4 linked regions of the Arabidopsis thaliana genome follow. The protein of the gene in region 1 purifies or fractionates together with the protein of each later gene. This does not show direct contact. Each region holds a gene or a part of one and is shown in the gene's direction. Other genes may lie near its edges.

Evidence for each region.
Region 2: the proteins of ftsh10 (region 1) and PHB3 purify together in Arabidopsis thaliana (affinity purification with mass spectrometry, with the first as the bait; one study listed by BioGRID). This does not show direct contact.
Region 3: the proteins of ftsh10 (region 1) and PHB1 purify together in Arabidopsis thaliana (affinity purification with mass spectrometry, with the first as the bait; one study listed by BioGRID). This does not show direct contact.
Region 4: the proteins of ftsh10 (region 1) and PHB6 purify together in Arabidopsis thaliana (affinity purification with mass spectrometry, with the first as the bait; one study listed by BioGRID). This does not show direct contact.

Annotation. Positions count from the first base shown.
Region 1 is NC_003070.9:2,301,165-2,308,621, forward strand, and holds the start of ftsh10 (FTSH protease 10), read left to right. Parts: upstream 1-3,270; 5' UTR 3,271-3,618; coding exon of another isoform or gene 3,619-3,867; 5' UTR 3,868-4,524; coding exon 4,525-4,575; intron 4,576-4,661; coding exon 4,662-4,893; intron 4,894-4,988; coding exon 4,989-5,057; intron 5,058-5,293; coding exon 5,294-5,427; intron 5,428-5,533; coding exon 5,534-6,016; intron 6,017-6,116; coding exon 6,117-6,884; intron 6,885-7,119; coding exon 7,120-7,347; intron 7,348-7,457. Other genes in the region: AT1G07485 (uncharacterized protein), read left to right, coding at 341-415, 501-728; RTFL3 (ROTUNDIFOLIA like 3), read right to left, coding at 362-685; AT1G07500 (uncharacterized protein), read right to left, coding at 3,619-3,867. UniProt on the Arabidopsis thaliana protein: Probable ATP-dependent zinc metallopeptidase. Involved in the assembly and/or stability of the complexes I and V of the mitochondrial oxidative phosphorylation system.
Region 2 is NC_003076.8:16,313,133-16,320,949, reverse strand, and holds PHB3 (prohibitin 3), read left to right. Parts: upstream 1-3,658; 5' UTR 3,659-4,328; coding exon 4,329-4,640; intron 4,641-4,839; coding exon 4,840-5,361; 3' UTR 5,362-5,379; intron 5,380-5,461; 3' UTR 5,462-6,100; downstream 6,101-7,817. Other genes in the region: G6PD6 (glucose-6-phosphate dehydrogenase 6), read right to left, coding at 6,394-6,561, 6,723-6,768, 6,883-6,998, 7,099-7,169, 7,276-7,371, 7,574-7,721. UniProt on the Arabidopsis thaliana protein: Prohibitin probably acts as a holdase/unfoldase for the stabilization of newly synthesized mitochondrial proteins. Necessary for mitochondrial and cell metabolism and biogenesis.
Region 3 is NC_003075.7:14,083,057-14,090,738, reverse strand, and holds PHB1 (prohibitin 1), read left to right. Parts: upstream 1-3,856; 5' UTR 3,857-3,983; intron 3,984-4,358; 5' UTR 4,359-4,366; coding exon 4,367-4,537; intron 4,538-4,781; coding exon 4,782-4,898; intron 4,899-5,016; coding exon 5,017-5,187; intron 5,188-5,275; coding exon 5,276-5,488; intron 5,489-5,574; coding exon 5,575-5,769; 3' UTR 5,770-6,115; downstream 6,116-7,682. Other genes in the region: NAC074 (NAC domain containing protein 74), read left to right, coding at 1-14; CRU3 (cruciferin 3), read right to left, coding at 1,122-1,529, 1,747-2,184, 2,290-2,714, 2,840-3,143; NAC073 (NAC domain containing protein 73), read right to left, coding at 6,473-7,050, 7,300-7,489, 7,576-7,682. UniProt on the Arabidopsis thaliana protein: Prohibitin probably acts as a holdase/unfoldase for the stabilization of newly synthesized mitochondrial proteins.
Region 4 is NC_003071.7:8,838,706-8,845,923, forward strand, and holds PHB6 (prohibitin 6), read left to right. Parts: upstream 1-3,266; 5' UTR 3,267-3,343; intron 3,344-3,451; exon of another isoform or gene 3,452-3,503; intron 3,504-3,580; 5' UTR 3,581-3,594; coding exon 3,595-3,759; intron 3,760-4,045; coding exon 4,046-4,162; intron 4,163-4,273; coding exon 4,274-4,444; intron 4,445-4,541; coding exon 4,542-4,754; intron 4,755-4,887; coding exon 4,888-5,082; 3' UTR 5,083-5,317; downstream 5,318-7,218. Other genes in the region: AT2G20515 (pollen Ole e I family allergen protein), read right to left, coding at 336-663, 751-890; FLA6 (FASCICLIN-like arabinogalactan 6), read left to right, coding at 1,958-2,701; MEF21 (mitochondrial editing factor 21), read left to right, coding at 5,455-7,059. UniProt on the Arabidopsis thaliana protein: Prohibitin probably acts as a holdase/unfoldase for the stabilization of newly synthesized mitochondrial proteins.

The DNA of each region.
Region 1 (7,457 bases):
TTATTATTGAATTTGTTTTCATTATTTTTGCCAGACAATGAAAGTGACTATTCGATTTAATCCTAACAAAATAATTGTACGTCTCGACACATCGACCCTCCAGATTGTGGCATATAATTTCACTTTTTTAAAAAACGTTCGATGTTTTCAATTTTTTTCTTCATCAGACGACACACTTTAAATTATTTATACCTCTGTATACATGACTCTGTCTTATCAAAATTAATAGTAATATATTATCAAAAAAGAATCTCTTCTTACAATGTACTAGTATGGAAACTTGTGGCAACTTAGAGTAGAGAATCAAACTGATCTAATCATTCAAAAAAAGAGAATAAAAATGCATGAGATCTATATCTACCTAGGAATCATGTTTATGCCAACATACAAGCATAGCCACACACCTTCTCATGATGTAAAACCTTCCCTTCTGTTCTTTGGCCAAGCTACTGTACTTTTGTGTTATTGACCCTTTCTCTTTTTTCGATGAACTTCTTGAGATTGAAGACGACGAAGATGAAGGCACTGAGCATTTGGTGGATGAGCTCCGTACGAATGCAGGAGCTTTTGAGGAGGAAGCGCTTGTGGAGAAGCTTCTAGAGAACTTGGATTTAGATGAAGTTGAAGAAGATGAACACGACGCAGCTAATGCATCCTTTTTCGACAGCCTCCACTTCTCGTCCATCTTTGTGTTGCAGAAGAGAGAGGGAGAGAATGAGAGCTTCTGACTCAGATGGAGGGTTTCTGGTTTTATTTTACTTTTAGTTTGATTGTGAGTTTGTGGTGATTGAGCCAGAAGGAGAGATAGTGATCTAGAGAGATGGAGAGAGAGAGAGAAAGGGAAGCAAAGAGAGGGATAGTGTCTCTCTGCTTATGTCTACTATATAGTGAATGCTTCCAAAATAACTACTAAGTGGAAATGGTGAAGGCAAGGGAATGAAATAGTTTAAGTTTAAATTGTACTCTTAGCTAGCCCGGCTTTGCGTAATGTGCAACTATTATGTAATTAGGATTAATTATTGGAACTCCTGCTCAAAGTTTTACACCTTATTATACTTTTTTCAAAAATAGTACTAATGATTAGAAAATTACTTTAGTACTAGGAAAAAAAATTCTATACACCTGAGTTAAAAAAAAAATCAAATGAAGTTAGCTGTATAAAATAAAGTTGTTTTCATGACAGAAAAGCTAAATATTTCATGTTTTCTTGAAAACATTCTATAATTGTTTTTGTCCCCTAGTAGTTTTAAGAGATAAAGAAAGAATCTACATATATCATGTACAAAAAAGATATGAAAAATGATCAGTGTATATAATTCATTATTTTTTACTACATTAATTAATTTGAGTTTTAGTCTTAAATTTTATGTTATAATCATGGTTAAGCAGTTTTCAACAAACTTCGAAGGTTAATTTCCTTCTCAATTATTTTCTTGTATTTCAGTCCATTGAGTTGTATGAATATTTCTTTACCATATATTACTATGAAATTTTATATTTGATTCGATTACATATGTTTCAAGATAATTCAGTATAGACCGTAAGACGTGGGTAACCCGTAATCGCATATATTATATGCACACACTACGTTTTGGTGTTATACAAGGACGACGTTGTTAACATAAATCAACCGTCACATGAGTGAGAGAGCACAATAAATTTTATCAATAAAACTGACATAGTGGGACAGGAATCACAATGAAATTTGTAGAGGAATCACAATGGAATACTATTTTATCAATAAGAGTAAAGCATTTTCACAAAATGCAAGATATATATTTTGGAATCATGCCTACGGCTAAATATATAAGATCCAATTGAAAGAAGAGGGGGGACTCAAGTATTCCGCTTAAACACTGTGCCTTGAATAAAACTACTTGTAAATGACAAATTACATCTTTTGGTTAGACGAAACTGAACGTTTTTTATAAGATGGAAATTATCTTTCATTGGTATAGTGGTTGATGTTAATATAAGAGACATTGTCTCTAATTTGTCTAGAAACGTCTAAATTCAAGGAGCGGACTTGTCTCTCAAACAATTTAATGAATCAGTGGTCTACAATTCTAAGAGTTTTTAAAATTTTTGAAAACATTAATATATTTTTGTAAGAGGGCCATTTGGGAGTGTTTGGAGAGAAAGGAGCAGAGAGGGACGGGGGTAAAGTGTTTCTTACGATAAATAATTTGAAATCGGGGCCAAGAGTAGACAGCTTTGGTCTAATAATATTCCACTTGTTTTTTTCACTTATGTTTTCAAAAAATTATGGCTTTCTCGAAATTAACTCACTCCATTAATTACACTAAATAAACATTGTGTTGTACTTTCTACCATTTTTTTCAATTGGTAAACTGTCATGTTAGTTCATCCTCTAAAAGTCAGTCACAATCTAATTTCTAGTGTTGACGTCACCATGTTAATCACAGAGATGATCATGTTTTCTAGTATGTATATATGAGTACACACATTGTTACTTGTGAAGAGGAATGATAGATTTTGGTGTCGAAATTGCTTGATTTATGAGGGTCAAAGTGACCGTTGTTCCAAGTTTGGCTGGTTTATGTGGTCGGATTATAACGTTAAACGCATTTGCGTGGTTGGAAGCATTTATGTGCATGGTTATTAGGACAAGTTGTTTGTTTTGCTCTTGCGTTAGTTAAACAATCAAACATTTGAATTTTTGTACTTAACAAAGGGACAACAAAAGTTTCAAATCTAGACTCCTTTCTTTAACGATATTTGTTCATGGAAAAACATGTTTTTCAATAATCGTGAAATCTTCAATTGGCTCTAATACCATTTCAATTTTCAATAATCGTGAAATCTTCATTAAAGTGAAATGTGATACATGATTAAGCTTAAATACAAAGAAAACTTAACCAAAGATACTAACCAAACTAAACCATAACTAAAATTATATATATACACTCTAATAATGTTAAAAGATTATAGCATCCACAATTCAACAAAAATGTTTTACCCCCACCCACTATATCATTGAATTATGGACCGTCGCACTCTTCTCCGGTCGTGGTGAACCGGCTTTCAACAGATTAATGTGTTTTCGACTATAAGGTATGCAAAAATTTGCTCCATATGATCAAAGTGACCAAGCAGATTTTGAATCAGTATTGGTCCTCGGACTAGATATGTATACCACACAACTTTAAGCCAGGACTTGAAGACTTTCTTTAAGAGTTTCCATCCCTCGTTATGCCATATTAACCCACATAGCTTTCAATTTATTCTTGGAGAGAAAATAACTAGTGTAGCGGTTATGAAAACTTAAAACGCGTCCATGACTACAAATAATACAAAGACCATTTCTATATTAAATATAGAAAAACACTTATATTTTTCCCAACCTGACAGAAAACAAACAAAACAAAAAAGGAATAATTAACATCAAAAGTTCAAAACCAAACTAGTTCAACATAAAGTTCATACAAACATTGTTCTGCGTATCCTACATGACTACATCCAAAAAAAGAAGCCGAAACACTAAATATATATACACACACACCAACGGGACAATATAAGTCACAGAGGAGTCACAATCTAATACACACACACCAACGGGACAATATAAGTCAAAGAGGAGTCACAATCTAAGCGCAACTAGGTTGCCGCTTGGGAGGCTGCTACCACCGAGAAGAACAAGTCTAGATCCGGCGGCTGAAAATATCCCTTCTTCGGTGGTTCCCTCTTCTTCCCAAAGCCTAGTAGCGATCTCTTCCTTCTCACCGGAGGTGGACAAGGCGGATATGCTGGTATCCGGCAATCATCACGTGTAGGCGTCGTGCATCCCATCTGATAATCATCATCAACCGTCACCGTATCTCCGTCGTCGTAGTTTTTCTCCTCCATTTTTGTCCGCTCTCTCGCACTTTCCTAATAAGGTTCTTAATTAGATTGCTTCTTTATTACACTAGTTTTGGAAGTGACCGTAGCTTGTTCTGGAAGTTGCTAGGTACTTGCGGTCTAGAAACTTACACGTGGAGGAACGTACTGCCACGTGCTAAAGCGTAGTTATATTCAGGTGGGAATAGTTGCCACACATACCCCACTCGAGTCAAATGCTCGTTTATAATGTGGCTTAGTTAAAACGAAGCCCATTAAGCTAAACAAGGGCCCGAATTTACTGGAGCTAAGGCCATTAACCACGTTAAAGATTTGCGAAATAAATAACCGGTTGGTTTTTAGTTGAAAGACTAAACCGGTTGAAATAATCCACGGAACAACAACATATGTTGGAGTCTGGAACGCGTTGATGTCTTGGTTCCCAAGCAGCTCAAAAGTGTGACATAAATTGTTGTCCTCAACAAACACCATAAAAATCACAAATTTCGTTCTGGGCTCTTTATTTTTTTCAATCACCACATTTTCACTTGTTAAAATTTTGTTACTTTGCTCTATCTGAAACCAAAGCTGCCATCTTTCTCCTTTTGGGTTTTGATTAGATCTCCGATTTTGGGTTTCTATATATTATGCGAGCTCACTTTTGTTCGTTCTGATTATCTGACAATGATATTCTCCAAGCTTGGTTCTTCCCTCGCTCGATCCTCACGTTCTAAGGTTCGTTTCGTTGTGATGCTTTTTTTCCGACGCTTGTTAATTTTGTGTTTAATTTCCTATTTTTTTCAATTTTCCGGTGAAATTAGGGATTTGTGTACGGCGGTGGTGTGAGATCGGCGGTATTTAACCAAGGGAGGTTACGAGCGCCGCAGAATCTCGAGGCGGCCGTCAATCAGGTGGATGGTGGATTAGGGTTTTTGAGGCGGCACTTTGCTTCTTTTGCTGCTCGAAAGGGACTAGAAGCCGGTGATTTAAGCCGTGCTTTCGCTAACCCTAGATTGCGTCGGTTCTTTTCTAGTCAAACCCCAAAGAAGAAGAGTATGTAGCAAACCCTAAATTTTTATACGGATCAAATTAGGTGTTCACAGTAATTTGAGAGAGAATTGGAAGCCTAAATTGCTTTTCTTTTGCAGATTATGAGAACTACTATCCAAAAGACAGTAAGAAAGCACCCAAGAATGAGCAGAAATCTGAATCCAGAGGTGACGGTTTATGTAACATTCTCGTATTTTTGGATGTCGAATCCATTTGGTACTATGGAAAAGAAATTGAGTAGACTAGTTGATACATTTGAGAGTTTCGGGAATCATTTTATCGTCTTATTGAATTGATAATTAGGCACACAATTGTAGGATTGTTGACAACTATTCATTTTGAAAGGATTGTGAAAGTTTGTTTGAAGATTGTAGTAATTGAATATGTATTTGTTGCGATGCAGATGGTTCAAAGAAAAATGAAAACGAAAATGCTGGGGACGCGTTCTCAAATGAATATCAAAATATGTTAATTCCTCTTATGGCCATTGCTTTAATCCTTTCTACTTTCTCTCTTGGTTCCCGAGAACAGCAACAGGCAAGCATGTCCAACTATACTCTGTGTATCATGTTATCTATATAACTGCAGACGTGTGGGCCTGAGGAATGTCAACTAATTATCCGTGTTATATTTGTTGGTTCAGATTAGTTTCCAGGAGTTCAAAAACAAGCTCCTCGAGGCTGGTTTAGTGGATCACATAGATGTTTCCAATAAAGAAGTCGCAAAAGTCTATGTGAGGAGTTCACCAAAAAGCCAAACAACGGAAGAAGTTGTTCAAGGTCCTGGTAATGGAGTTCCTGCTAAAGGACGTGGTGGTCAGTATAAGTACTACTTTAATATTGGTAGTGTTGAATCATTTGAGGAGAAACTAGAAGAGGCCCAAGAAGCTATAGGCGTTAATTCTCATGACTTTGTTCCTGTCACCTACGTCAGTGAAACTATCTGGTACCAGGAACTATTGAGATTTGCACCGACTTTACTTCTCGTGGCTACGCTAATTTTTGGGGCAAGACGGATGCAAGGTGGACTGGGAGGTTTAGGCGGACCTGGTGGGAAGGCTGGCCGTGGAATTTTCAATATAGGGAAAGCTCAAATAACGAGAGCAGATAAAAACTCCAAGAATAAGGTCAGCATTTCAATCAGGGTGGAGAAGTTGAATTACCATCTTCATTTCCAATTCATGATGCTATTGAGATTTACTACTGATCTATTTTGTTTTTTGCCAGATATATTTTAAAGATGTTGCGGGATGCGAGGAGGCTAAACAAGAAATTATGGAATTTGTGCATTTCCTTCAGAACCCAAAGAAATATGAAGATTTGGGAGCTAAAATCCCAAAAGGTGCGCTTTTAGTTGGCCCACCCGGGACTGGAAAGACCCTTCTAGCAAAAGCTACTGCAGGAGAATCAGCTGTACCGTTTCTCTCAATATCTGGTTCAGATTTCATGGAGATGTTTGTTGGTGTTGGACCTTCCAGAGTGAGAAACTTGTTTCAAGAGGCTAGACAGTGTGCACCTAGCATAATATTTATTGATGAGATCGATGCGATTGGCCGTGCGAGGGGACGTGGAGGTTTCTCTGGTGGAAATGATGAGCGTGAAAGCACACTTAATCAACTGCTAGTTGAAATGGATGGATTTGGTACTACCGCTGGAGTTGTCGTCCTTGCTGGGACTAACAGGCCAGATATTCTTGATAAAGCTTTATTACGGCCTGGCCGGTTTGATCGCCAGATAACCATAGATAAACCTGATATTAAAGGCCGTGATCAGATATTCCAGATATACCTGAAGAAGATCAAACTTGATCACGAGCCCTCATATTACTCACAAAGGCTTGCAGCCCTCACTCCCGGATTTGCTGGAGCTGACATTGCGAATGTCTGTAACGAGGCGGCTCTTATTGCTGCCAGACATGAAGGAGCAACAGTTACAATGGCGCACTTTGACTCTGCAATCGATCGTGTTATTGGTGGTCTGGAGAAGAAAAACCGGGTATGTGCTTTCGCCTTTATCAACAAAATTCAACTGTTTGGCGTATTGCCAGTTTTTTATATTATTATTTGTTCATTTTCGTTTATATTGGAACCTGCTCCTTAGGAATCTAGGATAAATCTCAAATTTGAAACCCAACAAATTGGTGACGTATATTATCAGCACGATTTTTTTTTCTTTCTACAACGGAAACCTGAATGTTCTACAATCTCTTTTGGTGGTTTCATGACCGCAGGTAATAAGCAAGCTGGAGCGCCGTACAGTTGCATATCATGAATCTGGCCATGCGGTTGCTGGGTGGTTCCTGGAACATGCGGAACCGTTGCTAAAGGTGACTATTGTTCCTCGTGGCACAGCAGCGCTCGGATTTGCCCAGTATGTTCCAAATGAAAACTTGCTCATGACAAAAGAACAACTCTTTGATATGACTTGCATGACTCTCGGGGGCCGGGCAGCTGAACAGGTAAATCTTTCTATCAACTTCAACTTCTTCTGGGTGTGAACTGGTGGTGTTAAGAGTGATAAAAATCCAAAAAGTTGCAAAAGGACCAACCAAACCCAAAACGTAAAATC
Region 2 (7,817 bases), on another chromosome or scaffold:
TTGGATCAAGTACAAATAGAAATAGATAACAAATATCGATCTGGAAAGTGTGTTTAGCGTTTAGTACAGTGTTTAGCGTTGACCGCCGCAAACTTGTAGCCAAACAGTCCATTATTGATATTTTGTGCACTCTCAAAACGTCATCTTATGTAAATCTCAAAACAGGGAAATATTATATTTCTGTTCAAACTATTGAGTCTTCTGACTAAACCATTTATATATTGTTTATGATCTCTACAAGACTACAAATTTATATTTTCGTTTTTTAAAAGTTAAATATGATAATAAAAACAAAAAAACTATTGTCTCGGTGAGACAACCAAAAATATGCCTCTGTGTGCGTATTTGATGGTTTTACGCAACCTTTAAAGTCAATAATTTTATCTATGACTCTGTGATAATAGTTTTGTTTGTAGCAAATGATCTTTTGGTTACGCACATCATAGGAGTATTAATTATTCGTTAAATATCAAAAGTATCAGATGTCTCCGTTTCTCATTTCTTCTTGGCAATGTTTTAAAAATATTTCGAAAACAAAATATGGTCATTGTTCAATTTCCACTATTAATGTTCTGCTTTTAGTTTGTACATAAAATTTAATTCATTGTTGCTAGTGTTTAAATGTGAAGGAGCTAGGAAAGTTCGTAGAAATGCACCAAATGAAGACTTTTGAGAAAATGATAGAGTCAATGAAAAGAAGAGATAATGAAGTGTATGGTTCACTTCTATGTTCTAACAATCTCTATTTTCTTAAAATTATTTATTTTGTCATTTTCTATCTTGTCATGTTCCTGCTTTTCGGTCAAGTGGCTTTCTTCCATTGACTTATATTTTGTTATTGTTATTTAATTAGTTGGAATAATGTTTTACGACGATTTCCATATTAATTCTTGAATTAAAATACTATAGAAACTAGTTGCCCCAAAAAAGAAAAACTATAGAAACTAAGAAGATGTGTAAAATAAAATATTTATATACGGATTCATCAACATGGTTGAAAAAATTAAGGTATCATCATAAGATTAATTAGTTAAAAATTTCAAGCAAATAGGTATAGTGATGAAAAAAAAAAAGAAAAAAAAAGGTATAGTGATGAATGTTATTTGTATGATGAGTCCTTAATTCTAACTAAATTCATCATTATCCGATTCCGAACAACTCCTATATGCACAAAGAATATTTTTACTCTCGATTTATCTCGTCGTTATGCATGTGAGCATTTATGTGATGACATGTTATGGCTTATGATAATAATAACAATGATTAGAAAATGTTATTGAAATGTTTAAAAGTCAAAACTGTTTTATAGTTAGGTTTTTGTGTGTGGAATTTATTGGGATTGAAGAAAAAACGTGTAAAGTAAAACTCTGTTGGGAAAGTTATTTAATGAGTCAACTGATGAAGTTCGAATTTTTTCCAAAAAAGAGAAAAATAGACGAACAAATTAGCGTATAAATACTAATACCATATAAATAGATTAAACGCAAGATGAATCTATCTCATGTAAAACTTTATGAAAATATAGTAGACAAAAATAAAAAAAGAGATACGTTGTTCAAAGAAGCAACTCACTAAATATCCTATATATATGAATTACTGGTTTAAATAACCTAATTACAGTTTACAGGAGTTTTATATGGATGTTGTCCAATGTCGTAAGCTCATAATCTTAGACTTGTTATGTTTATTTCAATAGAAGCGTGTAGACTAAACCGCAATTGGCAACTCGAGTGTTCCGTCTGTATCTCCGCATCGAATGAGAGATACATGCTTATGTAATATAGTTCAGCGCGGGCATGTTTGTATCTGCATTTAGTGATTGTGCAAACAAAAATCAAATGATCAAAGTAGTTAATGCCTCCAGTGAAGCATCTCGGAAGCTGTACACGAGAGGAAGTTTTCTTCAAAGAAATAATCAGTTGACTCGGTTTAATTGTTACGTGTCACCTAGTGTTGTAGGTTAAGGATGAAATTTATCTCCACCAGATTGCAAATTTATTTTTATTTACTCGTCAATCTATTTCATCTTCGTTGTATATGGTCAACGAAACTATTAGATTACAATCAATTGATTTTATAATTATTACTAAGGTATGAATAATTTCAACACCACCAATTAGCTATAGTTTCGATCTGCACTTTGACACTAAATTATAATTTTTATAATTTAGTGTATCAACGTGACATCATGTATGTGATAATTAGCTTACATTATCTTATACTAGTTTGTAAACAAATACTGGCCATTGGTGGAGGAAAATTATGTGCACTAAACAACAAATGAGCATCCATTATAGCTTAGACTAAAGAATATTTGCATTATATGTAATGAGTCTCATATTTAAGTAAATGGCAATTCTAAAATTTTTTCACTAGCTAGATAAAAACACATCAATACTTTTTATTGATCTACCATTGGTGGTCAGATGATAATTCGATTCAATGTTTAGCCTAAACATATTCTTTCTGACCGATTAAAAACCAAGTGAACGTTTTGTTTTGGTCGATCTATCCCAAGATTAGTTGGACTTTGTTCCAAATTTCTTGATGAGCAAACACAAAAGTGTAAATTGTTTCTTATTATTGTTGTCATGTACCATATATATATATTTGACAAAATAACCTAGTATAGTAGTAGTAGTATATATATAATTATATATATATATATTAATATTAGTTTCAGTTTGTTTATTTTACAATTATACACTTCTCACTCTAATTGGTTATCAAAGATTCATGTTTCCTTCACTTGGGTTGTTTCTTTTACCTGTTTCGATAATATTGATGACTACATATATATCCGGTTGGAGTCAAAATGTTGAAAGAATCGAATTTAGCTCAATCTTTGAAGTTGGCGTTTAGTTTTTGAAATTAAAGATTTCTCTGCAATATTTTAATTGAAAATCAATATTGAAGGACTTTTCTGTAATATAAATCTATTTTAAAGGTTATTTTCAAACCTGTATAAGATTCGACACCGAAACATTTGACATTTTCGATAACGTGGTGAGGTCACTGTGTGACCTTCCAAGTAAAACTCCATAATTTTCTTAGTATTCGAGACGACTTAATTGAGTCATATTAATTAAGTGATACATAATATCTCTATATTTTTTTGGTCGAAGATACATAACAATTTTACGGATAAAATATTTGGAGATTTACATGCTTTCAGATTCAGTTTTAATACTCGTGTACATCTGTCTTCAAATCCCACTTAACCGAATAGAAAAGTATTCGCGTATACTGTTTGTTGGTCAAAAAATAGTCACAAAAAGTTTTCAAAAATAGATATCATTGTTTCACAACTTTTCTTTTAAGGAAAAAAAAACACTTTTTATACTGGAAAAACTCAACAACAACGTCCCCTGCCGTTATATTTGAAAAGGATTAATCATGCTCACATGTAAATATTTTTCTTATACGAAAAAGTAGTTATCCTTATTCAACTTCGTGTTTGTCAAGTAGCTCGAAGAATATTTTTGTTCACTACCGTTGGCTTGTACTAATCTAATACTTTTATAGTAGGCCCTTAACACCATACAAATGTCCAAGTAGGTATATTCTTCAATTTTTATTTGATTAAACAAATTGAGATAAACTATTGGCGTTGACCGATCTTGGTTTTCATTGCCTCGATTTTGCTGTTTTATATTTGGTTTCTTCTTGCTGGTTGGGATGCTGTTTTTGAACTGTGAGGTAGTCTTCATTTGTTATAAGAAGAGCTGCTATCTTGATGCTGTGGATTAGAATTTCCCCGTCGTTTAGCCATTTCTGCAAGCTTTTCTTTATCTTGGATTGATGGTGGGCAATGTCTCATGTGCTAGATTCTGGTTATAGTTTTTGATTTTCCATGGTTCAGTTTCTATTTTCTTATGCATTTAAAGTAATGTTTGTTAGCTTCCCATACTTTTGGGCTTTAGTCTCCGAGGATTTTTGTTATCCGTCGACTTAGTTTTTGAGATTATCTTGTTAATCGTCAGCTTTAACTTTGTAAACTCTATCTATAATCTATCTTTCAGTAAAAAAAAAATAAAAAAAATTGAGAGAAACATAATTTATGAGACAAAAAGATATTAAACATACTCTGTAACCGTTAAGCTGTTTTCAGCCCAATGTCATGAAACCCATTATTGAATTTAGTTCTTAATAGGCTTATATAGTCACATAATAATATTGGGCTAAGTTACTTGGCCCATTAAATCATTTCCCGTGGTAGGTTCCAGAAACATATCATAAACCCTAGCAGAAACTCTTTCCTCTCTCGTCGTCTCAAATCTCTTCTTCCTTCTTCTTCTCTCTCGATTCAAGATAATCCACACGCAAAAATGGGAAGCCAACAAGCGGCTGTTTCGTTCCTTTCCAATTTGGCGAAGGCTGCTTTCGGTCTTGGAACGGCGGCGACGGTGCTGAATACATCGCTTTTCACCGTTGACGGCGGAGAAAGAGCTGTTATCTTCGATCGATTCAGGGGAGTGATGGATCAGACTGTGGGTGAAGGGACTCATTTCTTGATCCCGATTCTTCAGAGGCCTCACATCTTCGATATCCGCACGAAGCCTCACACGTTCTCTTCAATCTCTGGTACTAAGGATCTCCAGATGGTTAATCTCACTCTTCGTGTTCTCTCTCGTCCTGAGGTATAACGCATAACGGTTCTTCATTTTTGATCTAGACTCGTTTGATTTCTCTGAATTGAGGTTTTTCAGATTCATTTGCGAATTGGATTTAGGGTTTAGGGTTTTGATGATCTATGATTTTCAAAATTTGTTTCGAGGACTAGGTATTGTAGAATCGTTATTAATTTGGTGTGTTTATGTGATGTGAATTGTTGTGAAGGTGTCGCGTCTCCCGTACATCTTCCAAACTTTGGGTCTAGAGTATGACGAGAAGGTTCTTCCTTCGATTGGAAATGAGGTTTTGAAAGCTGTGGTTGCACAGTTCAACGCTGACCAGCTTCTCACTGAGCGTCCTCACGTCTCAGCACTTGTTCGGGAGTCACTAATCACCCGTGCGAAGGACTTCAACATTGTGCTTGATGATGTAGCTATCACGCATTTGTCCTATGGTGTGGAGTTTTCAAGGGCTGTTGAGCAGAAACAAGTGGCTCAGCAAGAGGCAGAGAGGTCTAAGTTTGTTGTGATGAAGGCTGATCAAGAGAGGAGAGCTGCGGTTATAAGAGCTGAAGGTGAAAGTGAAGCTGCTCAGTTGATTTCTGATGCTACGGCTAAAGCTGGTATGGGACTTATCGAGCTTAGGAGGATTGAAGCTTCAAGGGAGATTGCGTCTACACTTGCTAGGTCTCCTAATGTGGCCTACTTACCCGGTGGCCAGAGCATGCTCTTTGCCCTGAACCGTTGATCTTGATCAGATATGATGGTATGTAAAAGCTTCATCTGAATCCATAGAATTAAGTCGTTTTGTGATTTGTCTGAAGGCTTTGTATTATGGTTATGTGCAGGTTGTTTGGGAGCATTTTGCGATATTTTAATGATCAAGTTGTGAATCTGATTGAATCAAAAAGGTGAAATGCTCTTTTGTTTTGATGAACTCTGAAGAAGAAAAAGAAACTAGTTGTTTGAGTTGTCATTATTGTGTTCTGAATCTCGGCAAAATTTACTCTACCTGAAGAATCTTTGTTTTCAGCATCATGTTTATCTAATTCTCAACAAATAAATGATTTTGGCTGAACTGTAAGTAATTTGTTTGTTACACATGCGTGAGAAAAGAAAATACAGATGGTACCTAGGAGTGTTGTTCTATGCGGATAAACTATGGTCACATCTGGATTATCTAGATGGTACCTATTTTGCATAAACTGTCGATAGTCTACGTCAAATTTCGATCTGTATGGACATTCAATTGTTTTTGCATAAACAGAGCAAGTTCAGAAACAAAGCAAATAAAGAAGAGAAATCATGAAAGATAGCCTTTTCTATCGAGATCCATTTTATCCATCGGTTTTAGTTTTTTTTTTTTTGGTCATCTAATGATAATGATGACTATGTAAAGACGGCGTCGGTTCCTAGACTCAACTTATGTGTCTGTGTCAACAAACTCTAGATGGAACTTAATGTGTGTTTCAACCACCTCTAGATTGAACTTATGTGTGTATATCAACAAACTCTACATTTTTTGGCAATTTTTTCTATCTCATCGTCAATTTCATTCATTTAACGAGCACAACAAAAGCTAAATTCATTTATGGTATTGGTAAGATTTTTATTTTTATTTCTACAAAGCCGCAAATACAAGACCAAAGGAAGTGTCAAAGTGAACAGCTGAAGTAGCAAGTTTCACGTACAAACACCAAACTCGAGGAGGGACTATTCAGCATAATTTATACATATACATGTAGATACATGTATTGTGTATTTATATATATGTAGGGTTTTATAGTGTAGGAGGGATCCAGATATAGCCGTGAGTCTGAAGATAACCAGCTTTCTCTAGTAGCTGATCAGCTTCTTTCGGTCCTCGGCTTCCTGGTTTGTATGGGATTGACTTTACTTCTCCTTTGTCGATCCTGTGGAGTAGCGGCGTGAAGATCTCCCACGCAACCTGTAATAATCATCAAAATGGATACAAATGTTAGCTCCTGAATTGTATGATGCAAAAGTTTGTGTCTGGATTGTGTCTATAGTTAGAGCATTTGTAATGTAACAAAAAAACGATCTCAGAGACTGCTTTGGTTTAAGGGTGGCGTTAGAAAATGTTTCTACCTTTAATTCGTCTCTACGAACGAAATGTTGTTGATCGCCTTTGATTCTGCAGAGAGATGGAAAGAAAATATGTTGAAGATAACATGAAGGAACAGAAGGCATCAATTAGATATATAAAGCCTATTGGGGTAGTATATAATTTAGAAAATTTATTTCTTACGTGTCAAGAATTAAGCGCTCGTATGCCTCAGGGATAGCGACACCTTGATACCGTTGCCCATACGACAAGTCTAGTTCACTTTGCACAGTATTCATATCTAGACCTGGTTGCTTAACCTGTGTAGCAAAAGCATAGCCAAAAGCGTTATGGTTCACTGTAGTGGTTCAAGGTCAGAGTAATTAGTAAATTATGTTTGTTTGTTCATCATATACTTACAGTTAGTTTCATGTACATTGCCTCTGAAGGTTGCAAGCGTATCACAAACTCGTTCCTTCCTTGCTTTTGACCTGTTGCAAGAGAGTTTAGACAAAGCGATACATTGTGTCTTTACATATATTTAAATTCAAAAAGCTAAAAGAAGATTCAAAACACGATGTCAGGGCAAGACAATACATCTGAATATGTCGCCTGGGACATCCTTGAATTGAATGCGAATTTCTGCCTTCCTTGAATTCAACGCTTTTCCGGCCTTTAATATAAATGGAACACCTGAAAGATATATCCAGGACCGTTAGAATGTGCATGCAAACATGTCGGATTTTGGTTCCACATGCTTTAACCAAAAGATTGATGCTATCTATGATCATGTTGACCCATCAAACCTCTGTTTTTTCTTCATATTTTATGTCAATTTCCAGATTGTTTCTGAACTGATAGATGAAAATATGAAGAGTGAAGTGGGACATGGTACCTTCCCATCTTTCGTTGTGTATGCGAAGGATTGTTGTGGCAAATGTTGGAGTGTTTGAGTCGTTTGGAACAGTATCATCATCCCTATATCCTTCGTATTGTCCAAGAACTACCTCGTCATCGCTTATCGGAACCACAGATTGAAGCACCTGAAGTTCACTAAAATAATCAGTAACGAGAGACTAATTGGCTGAAAATGCAAATGGAAATATCAACCAATCCATGTAAACTCGCTAAGGAGATTT
Region 3 (7,682 bases), on another chromosome or scaffold:
TCGCTTTCCAATGAACATAATTCAAGGGGTTCGCCAATTTGTTGATTCGTGAATTATACAAACATTTTATCTATAGATTTATCACATTATCAAACATGTAAGTTGTGTGGCATTTGGGTATAGGGTTTGTGTGATTCTAGGTTTTTAGGACGATGTATGTTGTTATATTTAGCGTGTTTTTAGGATTTATTCTCATTTTAAAATTATATGAAAACCCATTACTATGAATACAATTAGTTTTCTTTGTTGTAAATAATATTTTAGATTATCATCTTTCCTTTGCATATTATATTTTCTTTTATAGCTCGATAGAATCATTTGCTTACAATTTTTATATTTCCCTAACAGAGAATATCATTCATATAGTAAAACTTTTTTCAAAAAATTATTAAATCAAAGATGGAGGAGTAGTAACGAGAAAACAATAATGGAGACCAATTGGGATGATTGGCATTTGAGCAGCCGATGAAGGTTGTTTTTTGTTTTGTTTTTTCGGCTTCCCTTTTTTTATATAGTTTCGTTAATAAATTACAAAAACTGTATGAGCTAGTGATCAGGAGATGAAAAGCAGCTCTTCCAAGCTCTCTTATATGGATCATAAGCCAAAAAAAAGAGAAGAATGATACAGTTTTTCCGTAGCTTAGCTTTAGAAGCTAAAGCCTAAAGAAAGAGAGAATAATCTTTGGAGGCCATGCTATTTCTTGTTACGACATAGAATCCAACACAATTTTTCACTTCAAAAATTGGAACTAATCTACACTTTTCCCCGCAAGAGTAATCTAGGATAACGTTTCCAAGTGACGGAACTTTAATTCGTTTGGGCCTCCGTTTAGGCCCACAGAAAGCAGAAAGCCGTATTTTGAAAAAAAAAAGAATAAAGACCAAGTATATATACGAAGCTCAAGCTACAGTAGATGGACACAAACTTATGTTTTGTGGAATAGACGAAAAAACTGGCGCTATATTATAGTATGTAACTCGAAACTTCCCTTTTATTTATGAGAAGAAAGTGTTATTACAAGTGAGGTGCCGCAGACACATATTTTACACGTACGTTAAAGGTAAAGGGACGTGATTACAAACTGACCATACTTTATTAAGAAAAAGAAAAACGTTTTGATTTAAGCCTCGACAATCTCCTCGATCAACTGTTGTTGTTGCCTACCGGCAGCGCGGGTCAAAGTGGTCTCAAGTGTGTTGAACTTGATCTTCCTAGCTTCCTCGGGAGAGATCTGGAAACCATTTGATATGACCTCCAATGGCAATGCCCTCAAGAGCGAGGTTCTACCCGCCAAAGTGCTGATCATTGCGTTTTCATTAGTTTTGAAAGAGATCCACTCGAACTTGTTTCCGTGGGACTGGACAACGTATGCGAACCCTTGTGGGATGACCACGAGCTGTCCCTTCTGCACCTGTTGGTCCAACACGTTCTGTCCGTTGTCGTTGACCACTTGGATCCTTCCTTGTCCTCCAGTGCAGTACAAGATCTCGTTAGCGTTCATGTTGTATTTAGGAAGCACCATCGCATTCTGTAACATTTGACAAAACATGTGAACACGTCATCCGTCATATAGAACTTCCAATTTTAATATGTTTTGCTAAAGAAAAAAAAAAGGAATAAATATCTATCAAATTCATTTTTAAAACATTTGTATACGTTCTTAAATAATTTAGGATATGACTAATTTTTCTTTTTGGTAAAAATGTTAATATCTATATTTAATTTATTAAGAAAAATGTACTTACACCCTGGAGAACGCCACGAGTGGCACTGAGCCTGACATACTCCAAGATGGGCAAGGTATAGCTGTTGACGCTGGTCACGCGACCTAGGCTGGGCTTGTACACGTCAGCACGAGCAGGGTCGTCAATGTTCTCGTGGGACCTCATGCTGCAGATAGTCTCCTCAAGGCCGTTGCCCTGTGGGCTACGTGGGTGTCTCCACTCCTCGCTCTCGTAGGGCTGTCTTAGAGGTGGCCTCACGACCTGGAAAGGTCCCTTAACACGAACGATGTTTCCTCTGCTGTCTTGTTGGTTCTGAAGCTGCTGAGCCAACTGAACGTCAATTTTCAATGCTTGAGCTATGACCTGTGCGTCGAACCCGCTCCACAAGTTTTTCTGTTCTTGTTGTTGCTGTGAACCGCCAAAGCCTCCCTGCTGGTTGTTTCCGGCCAAATGGAACACCTATAGCAAAGAATCAACAAATGCAATACATAAATGAATTAGTTAAACTGATATGGTAGATCTTCTAATAGCGGATGTGCGTCTTTGTATATAGTATGAGATTACTCTAGGGTTGCGGTCGAGTTGGTTTTGGTAGTTGGCGATGTCGAGAAGAGCGATGATGACAAGTGGCTGTTCTCCTGAGTTGTAGATCCAGTGGGCAGAGCCTGGAGTGTTGGCAAAGACGTCTCCGCGTCTCACATGTTCCACCTTCTGGTGCATGTCACGGAACCCTTGTTGTCCCTGCTGTCCCTGTCCTTCCCATGGTTGGCCTTGTTGTCCCTGTCGTCCTTGTTGTCCCTGTTGTCCCTGTCCTTCCCATGGTTGGCCTTGTCTTCCTTGTTGTCCCTGTTGTCCCTGTCCTTCCCATGGTTGGCCTTGTTGTCCCTGTCGTCCTTGCCATGGTTGGCCTTGTTGTTGTCCTTGCATCGGCTGCGAGTCCATGAAGGTCTCGGCACATCCAGGGACCACTCTTCCGCTGATACCCGTTCCTGTAAATTAATTTTAGGTAGAGAGGAAAAAAAAGAGTTATCATATGGTGAATCGATTATATCTTCATTAATTAGACATGATATATACATTAATTTTATTGGAAGGGTAATTATCATGTATGAACCTTGAACGACGTAGGAAATTTTTGGGGAAGTGAAGAAGGTGGGCAAGTAAAGACCGCCTTGTTCAATTACATAACGAGCAACGGAAACACCAACACATCGGAGCTGAGGGTGGTTGTGGTCCCAGTACTCGATCTGACCGGCTTCACTCTTGATAGTTTCGGTGGCTTGGAGAACATCTAGGTTGTCGAGGTTACACTCGTTCTGTAGCTGAGGAGGAACCCCAAGTGACTGCCTCGCAAGGCAGCCGTTAAGGACGAGGAGAACCCCGAAGGTTGCAACGAGGAGATTGCTGAGCTTAACCATTTTCTTTTTGTTTGTTGTGAGAGATGGATGAAGAGAACGGGACTTAGGAGGAGTTTATATATTGTCAAGTGAGCTCGTGGTTTGAGCCACGTAGGATTAGGTTTGCATGGGGACTTCAGTCTAAGCTTTTTACACGTCACTCTGTGAGCTCGAGCAAGTGTCTCTTGATCTTCATGCGCGTAGCTCACTCTCCGCATATGTCAAAATACGACAAAATCAAATGTATCTATCTCATTTTTTGCTTCACGTTATCCATCAACTAAATTTATCATTTTATTATCATCTTACTTACAATGTTTTAACCATGATACATATAATTCACTTTTAAACCGGAGAATAGAATCTAAATTTAACAATTAACACAACAAATTAGATCACCAGTGTTCACGTATATTGGCGATATGATCGAAGAGTTTGCAAGATACAGCCAAAAATTTGTATTGAAGATAAAACAAAAGAACTTATGAAAAATTAAAAAAAAACGAGGAAACAAGGTGACACATGAGCGAGACGCGGCGACACTAGGCGTGTTTGATCCATTGTATATGCTGCGACTTGTCTCGACAACTGTTCGGTTGCATGTTTAGCACTAGTAGCCAAGACATGTGTCAAATATTTCCAACATGGGCTTATTTAAACTAAGCCCAATAACTTATATTGTATTTACTAGAAAGCCCATCAAATATCTAATAGCCCATAACGTGAGCCCAAAGTTCATTTCCAAAACGGAAAATGTGACACCGTCCCATTTACTCCAATAGAAGTCTGAGCTTAAACCCTAAACCCCTTTCTCCACGATCTTCCTTTTCCTCTCTCTGCGACTTGAAGCAAAGTTTCCAGGTACGATTCTCGCCATTTTGATTATGTATTTTGTGTAATGGGTTGGTATTGATCGATTCCTTTCGAAAATTTTAGTGAAGACGTGAATTTCGGAGGTGGGTGAGAGTTTTCTGCTCGGATTTTGCTAATTACTCGTTGTTACTGTTTTGATTAGGAAGTATTTTGCGCAGCTTAGCATGAGCGTTCGTTAAATTTTCTATCTTTACTGGCTTTGTGTGCTGAATCTGACTTGATTTTGTTACTTTGACTGTTTTTGATGTTTTCATGATGAAGTTGCATAATTGAGTAGATGTGAGTCTGGATTTTGAGTGTATGTTTGTGTAGTTTTTCCACCACACATGGGTTTTGATTAATCATGTATTGGGATTGTTTCAGAAAAAGAGATGAACAACGTCAAAGTTCCAAAGATACCAGGTGGTGGTGCCATTTCGACGTTGCTTAAGGTTGGGATTATTGGTGGGCTTGGTCTCTATGGTGCTACGCACAGTCTCTACAATGTTGAAGGAGGACATCGAGCCATCATGTTCAATCGTTTAGTCGGTATTAAAGATAAGGTTAGTCAGTGTTTCTTCAAATTGGGTCTTTTTGGATTTTCAGTAAATGTATTTTCCCAATGAGTTTTTTTGCTGTTTGTGAGATTTGGATGAAATTTTCCAGGTTGATTTGTTAGTTAAAGTCTCATATGTTGTTCATTAATCCCTGAGACTGATTAGTCATGAAATTTTGTTGTTCTCGTTGAGCGTAAAAACAGTCTTCTTAATTCACAAGTATGTAGCTTGTAACCTTGTTATTACGCAGGTTTACCCTGAGGGTACACACCTTATGATTCCTTGGTTTGAAAGGCCGGTCATCTATGACGTTCGTGCTCGACCTTACCTTGTTGAGAGTACATCCGGAAGCCGTGATCTTCAGATGGTACTCTGCTTCTACTCCTCCCATTTTCAGTCATTTTGTTTTGTGAATTTAGTGAATGTGAAGTCGTTCGCTTCAACATCATAAGCTCTTAAGTTTTTTGTGGTTTTAAAACTTTCAGGTGAAAATTGGGCTTAGGGTTCTCACACGTCCCATGGCAGACCAGTTACCTGAAATCTACAGAAGCCTTGGTGAGAACTACAGCGAGAGAGTTCTACCTTCTATAATCAACGAGACTTTGAAAGCTGTGGTTGCTCAGTACAATGCAAGCCAGCTTATTACTCAGAGAGAGGTATACAAATGACTGTGAATATATGATCATCTTTTTTCTCTTTCTTAGTAAGTGAAGTTCTTAAAGATTTATTCCGGGCTTCTCTCAGGCGGTCAGTAGGGAGATCAGGAAGATTCTGACTGAACGAGCAGCAAACTTCAATGTTGCGCTTGACGATGTGTCCATCACAAACCTGACATTCGGGAAGGAGTTCACAGCTGCCATTGAAGCAAAGCAGGTGGCGGCTCAAGAGGCTGAGCGGGCTAAGTTCATTGTTGAGAAGGCCGAACAAGACAAGAGAAGTGCTGTTATCCGCGCCCAGGTAAAGAGATTCTCTACATTTCCACTTGTAATCTAAACTCTGAGAGCGAAATTGTTGTGTGACGAAAGTTCACATGGCTTGTGTAGGGAGAAGCCAAGAGTGCTCAGCTCATTGGTCAAGCAATTGCAAACAACCAAGCGTTTATCACGCTCAGGAAGATCGAGGCTGCAAGAGAGATTGCACAGACCATAGCAAACTCGGCGAACAAGGTTTACTTGAGCTCAGACGATCTTTTGCTTAACCTACAAGGGATGAATTTGGATGTTGATGCAAAGAACTAGAGAGGTTTCTTAAGTAAAACTGCATGTGGGTCATTTCGTCTTTTAAGTTCCTAGAATCCGTTGGAACAAAAGCTTGATTTGTACTACTAAATACTACTTTTAAAATTCTTGGGATCAGTCTATCTCAAGGTGAAAGTTGAAAAAGAAGATACTGTCTTGCTGAATGAGTTAATTGTAATAAACTTGTCGTTTGGGGGAGAAAAACACTTGCATTTGGATTTACCATAGGCATTTGCATGGTTATTGCTTATACGAGTGTCAGTGTCCCGATACACCTTTTGTATAAAATTGATCATGAAGATGTGTATTAATTGGTAAATATTGATAGTATATCTATATGTTGGCAACATTTTCCTATCTGTTTTAGTTTTTACGCTTATGTAGACAACGTGCTACAGAGTCCATAAATCTCAGCCGACAAGATATCAAAATGAATTCATGTAACAATAGTCAATAGCCAATGGAGATCTTTGTACATATTTTTCATGGTCAGTCTCAGTCCAAGGAATTTAAATTGTACAAAGCCGTAAAATCAAAAGGAAAAAAGAATTAAGAGAAACAAAAAACAAGTTACGAATACAAGAATGCACTGTAAATTTTAAATTATTTTCAACGTATATATGTATGTGTATATCAAAGATAATGCTTAGATTATATACCGTTTGTTTTATTTTAGGATCGTTGATATAAAATCATTTTGTTTTTAAGGGATAAAAGGTTGAGAGTCATGAACCAAGTGGTTCTGTATCCCGGTCTGATTGAACGAGATAATAGCCGGAATATTGTGATAATACTCACCGGCTCCGGCGGTTCCCCCACTGCCGTTGCTCTTACCGTTACCGTTGTTATGATGAAGATGGTAATGAAGGTGGCGGCCACCACCTCCACCGAGGCCGTGGAGGTAAGGTCGGTCCTTAGCGGTGGCTGCAGCAGCAACGGAGCCACCGCATTGACGTGGTTGAGTCTGGTAAAAGACTTTGGAGACGACGAGCTCACCTTCTTTCTCTTCCTCGCTAGTGCCAAGATGATATTGATGCATTACCCAATTAGTCTTCTCGGGTTTTTTTTGTTTGCCGTAGTTTGTGTAGAGCACTAGGATTTTCTTGTAGCCTCTCACTCTTCCTCCAGCAAGAACTGGCCGTGTTTTTCCTGTCTTGTGCCACCGTGTCTCTCCACCGACGTCAGAATCAGTGTGGACTTTACGTCGCTTTCTTGTTCCCGTCGTGTATGCCTTCGACGGTCGGTGGAAGAAATGACGCACCGTCCCGTCCTTGTTCACTCCTATATATGTATTCAACGACTAATTAGCATTCATCAAACTTAATTTAATTAAGAAATTGGATTAGCTACATTTTCTTTTTCTATATGACAATTTCCATCGTATTAAAATATGATTAAATTGTTTTTTCAACGTATTTATGTAGTTTTCAATAAGCATAACTAGAAGATCATTTGAAGACGGAAAATTTGTAACTATAGTCTCAATTTGTAACCGATTAATTGATGATTGAACATGCAACATAGAATCACCTGGCAATTTTTCAGGATGGGTATAACAAATGCCGTTTTCACCATCGATGGTACGGATAAACTCATCAATGAGAGGATGAAGCTTTTTTGCGTCATCTCTTACCTTGCCTTCAAGATGCTCCAAGACCTCTTGATCCGTCGGATCAAATTTTACTCCAGCAGGAAGTCCCGGCAAGTCATGGATCCCAGCCTACATTACATATTAATATATTATATTCAAATATCCAATATCATCTAAAGTTTAAACTTGATATAGGTAGAAAGAGAAACAAGAACCTGTTCGTGAAACTTGAAGTTATGGCCACAAGAAGGGCAAGTTTTGTGACAAGAGACCGGAAGTGAGGCTACGGGGGACTCAGCCGCCCCCGGGGAGGGAATGATTC
Region 4 (7,218 bases), on another chromosome or scaffold:
TTCTGGTTATATTGTTTGGAAGAAAATGGAAAGTTCAAAAAAATTACTTGACAAACAAACAAAAGAAGAGGGGATTAGATTCGAATCTGTACCATATTTTAAAGATTTGTTTGGAAAGTCGGATATACATATCCTGAGTCGGGTTAATAAGTAAATAGAGAGTATATAAGAAGAGTCGTTCCCAAACACTACAAAGCGCTCAAGGTCTGTGTTTAATTTGGGCCTTTCGGAGGCCCATAATCTAGTAGCAAACTGATCGGAATCAAACTTTGGTTACACGACAAAAAGCTTAAATTCAAAACCTAAAGACGACAAAAGTAACTGTCTCAGTGTTTTTAGTCACAAGCAACGTTAGCGACGGCGAAATGTTCGGCTTGCCGGCGAGCCGCCGACTCCGAAACCATGGCTTGGATCAGCATCGTCTTCACTTCCCATGGTGCATAAGAGAAACTTTTTCTCGCGTAAGAGTTGATCAGAGCTGCGATCCCCTGTTTCAGCAATGCACCGTACGCGTTCCCTTCTTCGTCATTCCTAGCCGTTGATTCCACTAGCGTTAGATCAGATCTCCACCGTTCTTTTGCTACCATCACTCCGAATATTTTCTCCACGGTTGATCTCTCAGGTACCATCCTCGGCCATGCTTCCCTCTGGCTGCTCCAATACCTGCTCAAAAACACCACCAACGAGTTGAGATATGACTCAGCTAAAGATTTTTGTAAAGAAAATGAAATTCAAGATTGATTGATTTACTGCGGCGTGCATCGTCCTCTGTGTCTGGTGTAGATGAAACCAGGCCTCGTCGCCGATGAATCTCCGGCAAAGAAGCAGAGGAGGAAGAAGGTGACCAGAACGAGTCGACTCGGAGAACAAAGTGTGTCCATGATATGCATATGGTTAAAACAGCATTAATTAATCAGCCCTTGGTCTTGGGACTCTTGGGTCTTCATTAAATCGCTATCAAGAATCTGAGTTTGCTTGAGTTATCGGTCTCCTCTAGTTGCCTATTGCTATTACCTCGGAAAAAGAGACATACTTTGACGCTTTTACCCTTAGAATTCAAATTAACGTGATCTTTTTGTCAAAGTGGATAGAGTGAATATAATTATTAGGGGGATATAAACGTCATTTTTGAAACGCACATGAGTTTGTCTGAATCTGCTGCTAAATACGTATTCTTTTTATTATTTTTGCTGCATGTCATCGTCAGTCCTCACGTGAGCTACGCACGGCGCACCATGTGCCCACAAGGCCACAAGAGGTCCGAACGATTTTAATCCTAAACCAGTACAACGCTATTTTGTATTAAGAAAGTCACATAATTTTAACAGATTAGTTTCGTCAGTCGATTATGATTCCAACTTTGTTAATTTTTCATGTTTTTAATGGGCCTTTTCTTATAGTCATGCCCTACGAGGATTTTTCCAGTTCCAGCCCAAATTTTGCCCATGCCAATGTCATGTAGAGCAGTTTCGTTGTTATAATATATATGACCCCCACGTTGCCTATCAATGCCAGACTATATTCGACTATATACACGTATCCACATCATTTTAAATACAGAAAAATGTAAAGATATTCATGAACCATGACCAGCTAACATTTTCAAGTTGTTTTTGTTGTTGTGTAATCTAACTGGTGAACCATGAGTTTGTATACTATATACGATATATATTGCCCTACAAATCTCTTATGATCTTATCGGATGTGGGATACAATTCTATATATATATATACATTTTGTCAACCTTCTTATAGTATTGTTTTGCATTTCTTAATTATAAACATTATCGTAAAATGTAGACTAAGTTGTTAAAAACAATGGATCAACTTCTTTTGCAAGTCACGCATACATGTCGTCTTAAATCTCTCCTTAAAATCTTTCTATATAATACCTAAAGGGTTAGCTCTAGCACAAGCACACACAGAGAGATAGAGAAAAATATAACAAATTTTAAGCCATGTCCTCGTCACTATTCTCTTATGTTGTCCTCTTAATCTTCCTTTTCACCATCCCATACATTCAAAGCCAGCCCACTGCTCCAGCTCCAACCACTGAAAAAAGTCCCATCAATCTCACAGCGATTCTTGAAGCTGGTCACCAATTTACCACATTAATACAACTCCTCAACACAACTCAAGTCGGGTTTCAGGTAAGTGTACAACTCAATAGCTCTGACCAAGGGATGACTATATTTGCCCCAACAGATAACGCATTCAACAAGCTTAAACCCGGAACCCTAAACAGTCTGACATATCAACAACAAATCCAGCTCATGCTCTACCATATCATTCCAAAATACTACTCTCTAAGCGATCTTCTCTTAGCAAGTAATCCCGTTAGAACTCAGGCTACGGGACAAGACGGAGGTGTTTTTGGGTTAAATTTCACAGGACAAGCACAAAGCAACCAAGTGAATGTTTCCACCGGTGTTGTTGAGACTCGGATCAATAATGCATTAAGGCAACAGTTTCCTCTAGCAGTTTACGTGGTGGACAGTGTGTTGTTGCCGGAGGAGTTATTCGGAACAAAGACCACTCCCACCGGAGCTCCTGCCCCGAAATCCTCAACTTCATCGTCTGATGCCGATTCTCCAGCTGCTGATGATGAGCACAAATCTGCCGGATCAAGCGTGAAGAGGACAAGTCTAGGGATTGTTGTTAGCTTTGCATTGTTTTGTTGCTCGGTTATATATATTGCTTGAACCTTTAACTAAAAGCGAGGGAAACGTTCCCGAAAAACAAACATTTATTTGCATGATTGATTTGATTCATCTATGCCTTGATATTTCTTTTTTGAAATTTCCTTTATAAAAATACATGTATTATTTTTTTGAATTTAAATACATGTATTATTAAATGATGACCAATTTTGAACCAAAGTAAGTTATCAACAAAATAACCACATCATCTATATCTCACTTTATATAAGTTAAGAAATTTCATTTAGGTTTAGTAGTAAATCATCAAGAAGTTTAGAGCCTTTGCAGTTTGCAACAAAATATGGGTTTGAAAGTTACATTTTTGAAAAGTGATAATAATTAATCTACTATCTATTAATCAAAATGAGAATTATTTCTTTTGTATAGAAAGTAAGGAAATGTCAAATATGGCCGTTTATATATTAAGAAAAATAAATAAAAATCGTTTACTAAAAAAAAAATATATTAAGAAAAATAAATAAATTAGTGAATTCACTAATGGGCCTGAATACAAATTTTGGGCCCAAAGATCTCTAGTAACAGAAAATGCGTGATCGACCAAAGCGTCAACAAAATCCTGATTTCTGAGCTTTAAACCCTAACCCCTCTCTTCTCTCTTCTCCACGCCATTTCCAGAATTTTCAGGTACTTCCTCTCGCCATTTTCATTATAGATCGAATTCTTAGTTTAAGCGAGTAAAGCTTCAGATTCTTCGGCTTCAATTTTGTGATCTAAGTTTTTGTTTCGTTTCAGCTAATTTGCAGATTATCTTTGTCTCTTTTTCGTTGATCCAAGTTTTCCTTGGGTCTAATCTACAAACGCATTTCGTTTCTCTATTTATCTGTTTCTGCCTTGGATTTTGATTGGGTTCCAAATTTGCAGGTGTTCGTGAAAAGATGAATTTTAAGAATGTCAAAGTTCCCAAAGGTCCTGGTGGTGGTGTTATAGCTGCGGTGGTTATTGGGGGGCTCAGTCTTTACGGTGCTACGCACACTCTCTACAATGTCGATGGAGGTCATCGAGCCATTGTCTTTAACCGGCTTGTTGGTATCAAAGACAAGGTTAGTCCCTGCAAAAATTGGTTTCTTCTGAATCTGTATATTGACAATGAATCTTGTGGTTGTGACATCTAGCTGAAGTTAGGTTAGGCTTAGCATTACTAGTGAATCTTATGTTTGCGGCATATAGCTCACGTTAGGTTAGGCTTACCGTTAGTAGTGAATCTTGTGTTTGCCGCATCTAGCTTAAGTAAACAAGGTTGATTTCTTAGTCTAGTTTTGATAGTCGTTTACAAAAGTCATCTTGATGCGCCATTAATAGTATATCTTTGCTTGCTTGATTATGTAGGTCTACCCTGAGGGTACTCACCTTATGATTCCATGGTTCGAAAGGCCAATCATCTATGACGTTCGTGCAAAGCCTTATCTAGTTGAGAGCACATCTGGGAGCCGTGATCTCCAGATGGTATTCCGCTTCATTTCATCACTTCTAATACTAATGGGTATAATCAGGTCGTGTGGTTTTGTCGTGTGAACTACATGATAAGCTTATGTTGTGTGGTATTTAAACATTCAGGTTAAGATTGGGCTTCGGGTTCTCACCCGTCCTATGGCTGACCAATTACCAGAGGTATACCGGTCCCTTGGTGAGAATTACCGCGAGAGAGTCTTGCCTTCTATCATCCACGAGACCTTGAAAGCTGTGGTTGCTCAGTACAACGCAAGCCAACTTATTACTCAGAGAGAGGTTAGCCAACTGGCTGTAAATACATTTTATTGATTCCTCTTCAATGGTAAATTGATGTCCCTTTTAATGGATATATGTTTTTTTGGTGTTTTTCAAGTCGGTGAGTAGAGAAATCAGGAAAATCCTAACTCTAAGAGCCGCAAACTTCCACATTGCACTGGATGATGTGTCCATCACAGGCTTGACATTCGGAAAGGAGTTCACGGCAGCCATAGAAGGAAAGCAGGTCGCTGCTCAAGAGGCCGAACGGGCTAAGTTCATTGTCGAGAAAGCTGAACAGGACAAGAGAAGTGCTGTTATCCGCGCCGAGGTGTGAAAAGTGTTTCTCTCTTTTCTAGCATTTTAAAAACCGGAGATTGTGTTAAAGCTTGCTTTTTTTTTTCTTTTTTGTTGTGAACTATTTTAAAGCTTGCTAACTGATGTTTCTGCATGGGTTTATGTAGGGAGAAGCCAAGAGTGCTCAGCTCATTGGTCAAGCAATCGCAAACAACCAAGCGTTCTTAACACTGAGGAAGATCGAAGCAGCTAGAGAGATCGCACAGACCATCTCTAGGTCGGCGAACAAGGTTTACTTGAGCTCTAACGATCTGTTGCTTAACCTACAGGCTATGGACCTTGATGTGAAGCCGAAGAAGTAGAGAATGATATGATTAAACCACACCAGAGCTCTTCTTCCATAATCGTATTTTCAATTCACGGATTCTTAGACCAAAAGCTATGAGTTCTATCTTGTGAATTTCAGACACTATCGTGCGTTTGTAGTCTTTCTTTTGTGAGATCAAGAAGAAAAGAAAAGATTTATGTTTTTACAAGTTGTTTACATTTGGTAATAATGATGTTCACAAAGCTGGAAAATAGGCTGTGAAAAAGATCAAACAAATGGGCCTGAAAATGAGAATTGGGCTTTTGGCCTAAGTTTGGTGAACCCCGAGAGACACACATCTGGGTTTAACGACGTTAGGTCGGAGCCAATTTGATTCCACCACCACGAGCTTCCTAATCTAGCTTTAATGGCGTTTCATGGAATCAGAGAAGTTGAAAACTATTTTATACCTTTTCTACAGCGAGTCAAAAGCCGCAATGAATGGAAGAAGATCAATGCCTCCATCATCATACATGGATTATCACAAAGCAGCTTCATGGTCACTAAAATGGTGGATTTTTGTGATAAGATTGAAGATATGGATTATGCAACTCGTCTTTTTAACCAAGTATCGAATCCTAATGTCTTCTTATACAATTCTATAATTCGTGCTTATACTCACAATTCATTGTACTGCGATGTGATCAGAATCTACAAGCAACTGCTCAGGAAGAGCTTTGAGTTACCAGATCGGTTCACTTTCCCGTTTATGTTTAAATCTTGTGCGAGTCTTGGATCATGTTATTTAGGGAAGCAAGTTCATGGTCATCTCTGCAAATTCGGGCCTAGGTTCCATGTTGTGACTGAGAATGCATTGATTGATATGTACATGAAGTTTGATGATCTTGTTGATGCACATAAAGTGTTTGATGAAATGTATGAGAGAGATGTTATATCTTGGAATAGTTTGCTTTCTGGATATGCAAGGCTTGGGCAGATGAAGAAAGCAAAAGGCTTGTTTCATTTGATGCTAGATAAAACTATTGTATCTTGGACTGCGATGATCTCTGGGTATACTGGGATTGGTTGTTATGTAGAGGCTATGGATTTCTTCCGTGAAATGCAGTTAGCTGGTATTGAGCCTGATGAGATCAGTCTCATTTCTGTTTTACCGTCGTGTGCGCAGCTCGGATCTCTAGAGCTTGGGAAATGGATCCATCTATATGCAGAGAGAAGAGGGTTTCTGAAACAAACTGGTGTTTGCAATGCTCTTATTGAAATGTACTCGAAATGTGGTGTGATTAGTCAAGCTATCCAATTGTTTGGCCAAATGGAAGGGAAAGATGTTATATCATGGAGTACGATGATCTCTGGGTATGCATATCACGGGAACGCTCACGGAGCAATCGAAACATTCAATGAAATGCAGAGAGCGAAGGTGAAGCCTAACGGGATCACATTTCTTGGTCTTTTATCAGCTTGTTCACATGTTGGTATGTGGCAAGAAGGGTTGAGGTATTTTGATATGATGAGACAAGATTATCAAATAGAACCTAAGATCGAACACTATGGCTGTTTGATTGATGTTTTGGCAAGAGCAGGAAAACTAGAACGAGCTGTTGAAATAACAAAGACAATGCCGATGAAACCCGACTCGAAGATATGGGGTTCATTGTTGAGCTCTTGCAGAACACCAGGCAATCTTGATGTTGCTCTGGTTGCAATGGATCATCTTGTGGAGCTAGAGCCGGAGGATATGGGAAATTATGTTTTGCTTGCCAATATTTACGCAGATTTGGGAAAATGGGAGGATGTTTCGAGATTGAGAAAGATGATAAGGAACGAAAATATGAAGAAAACGCCAGGTGGTAGTTTGATAGAAGTGAACAACATTGTTCAGGAATTCGTTTCAGGAGATAACAGTAAACCTTTTTGGACTGAGATATCTATAGTGCTGCAGTTGTTTACTTCACATCAAGATCAGGATGTGATTACAAACAACAATGCTCTTGCATTTATAGGCATAGTTTAGAAGCGTTTGGATTATAGAAGAAGTAGCAAACTTATTAGGCGTCTTCAATCATACATATGTTACAAATCGATCAGAAATATACAACAGTATTTAATTATACATACGTTACAAATCGATCATAAAGGTCACAACAGTACTCATTCATACATATGCTACAAA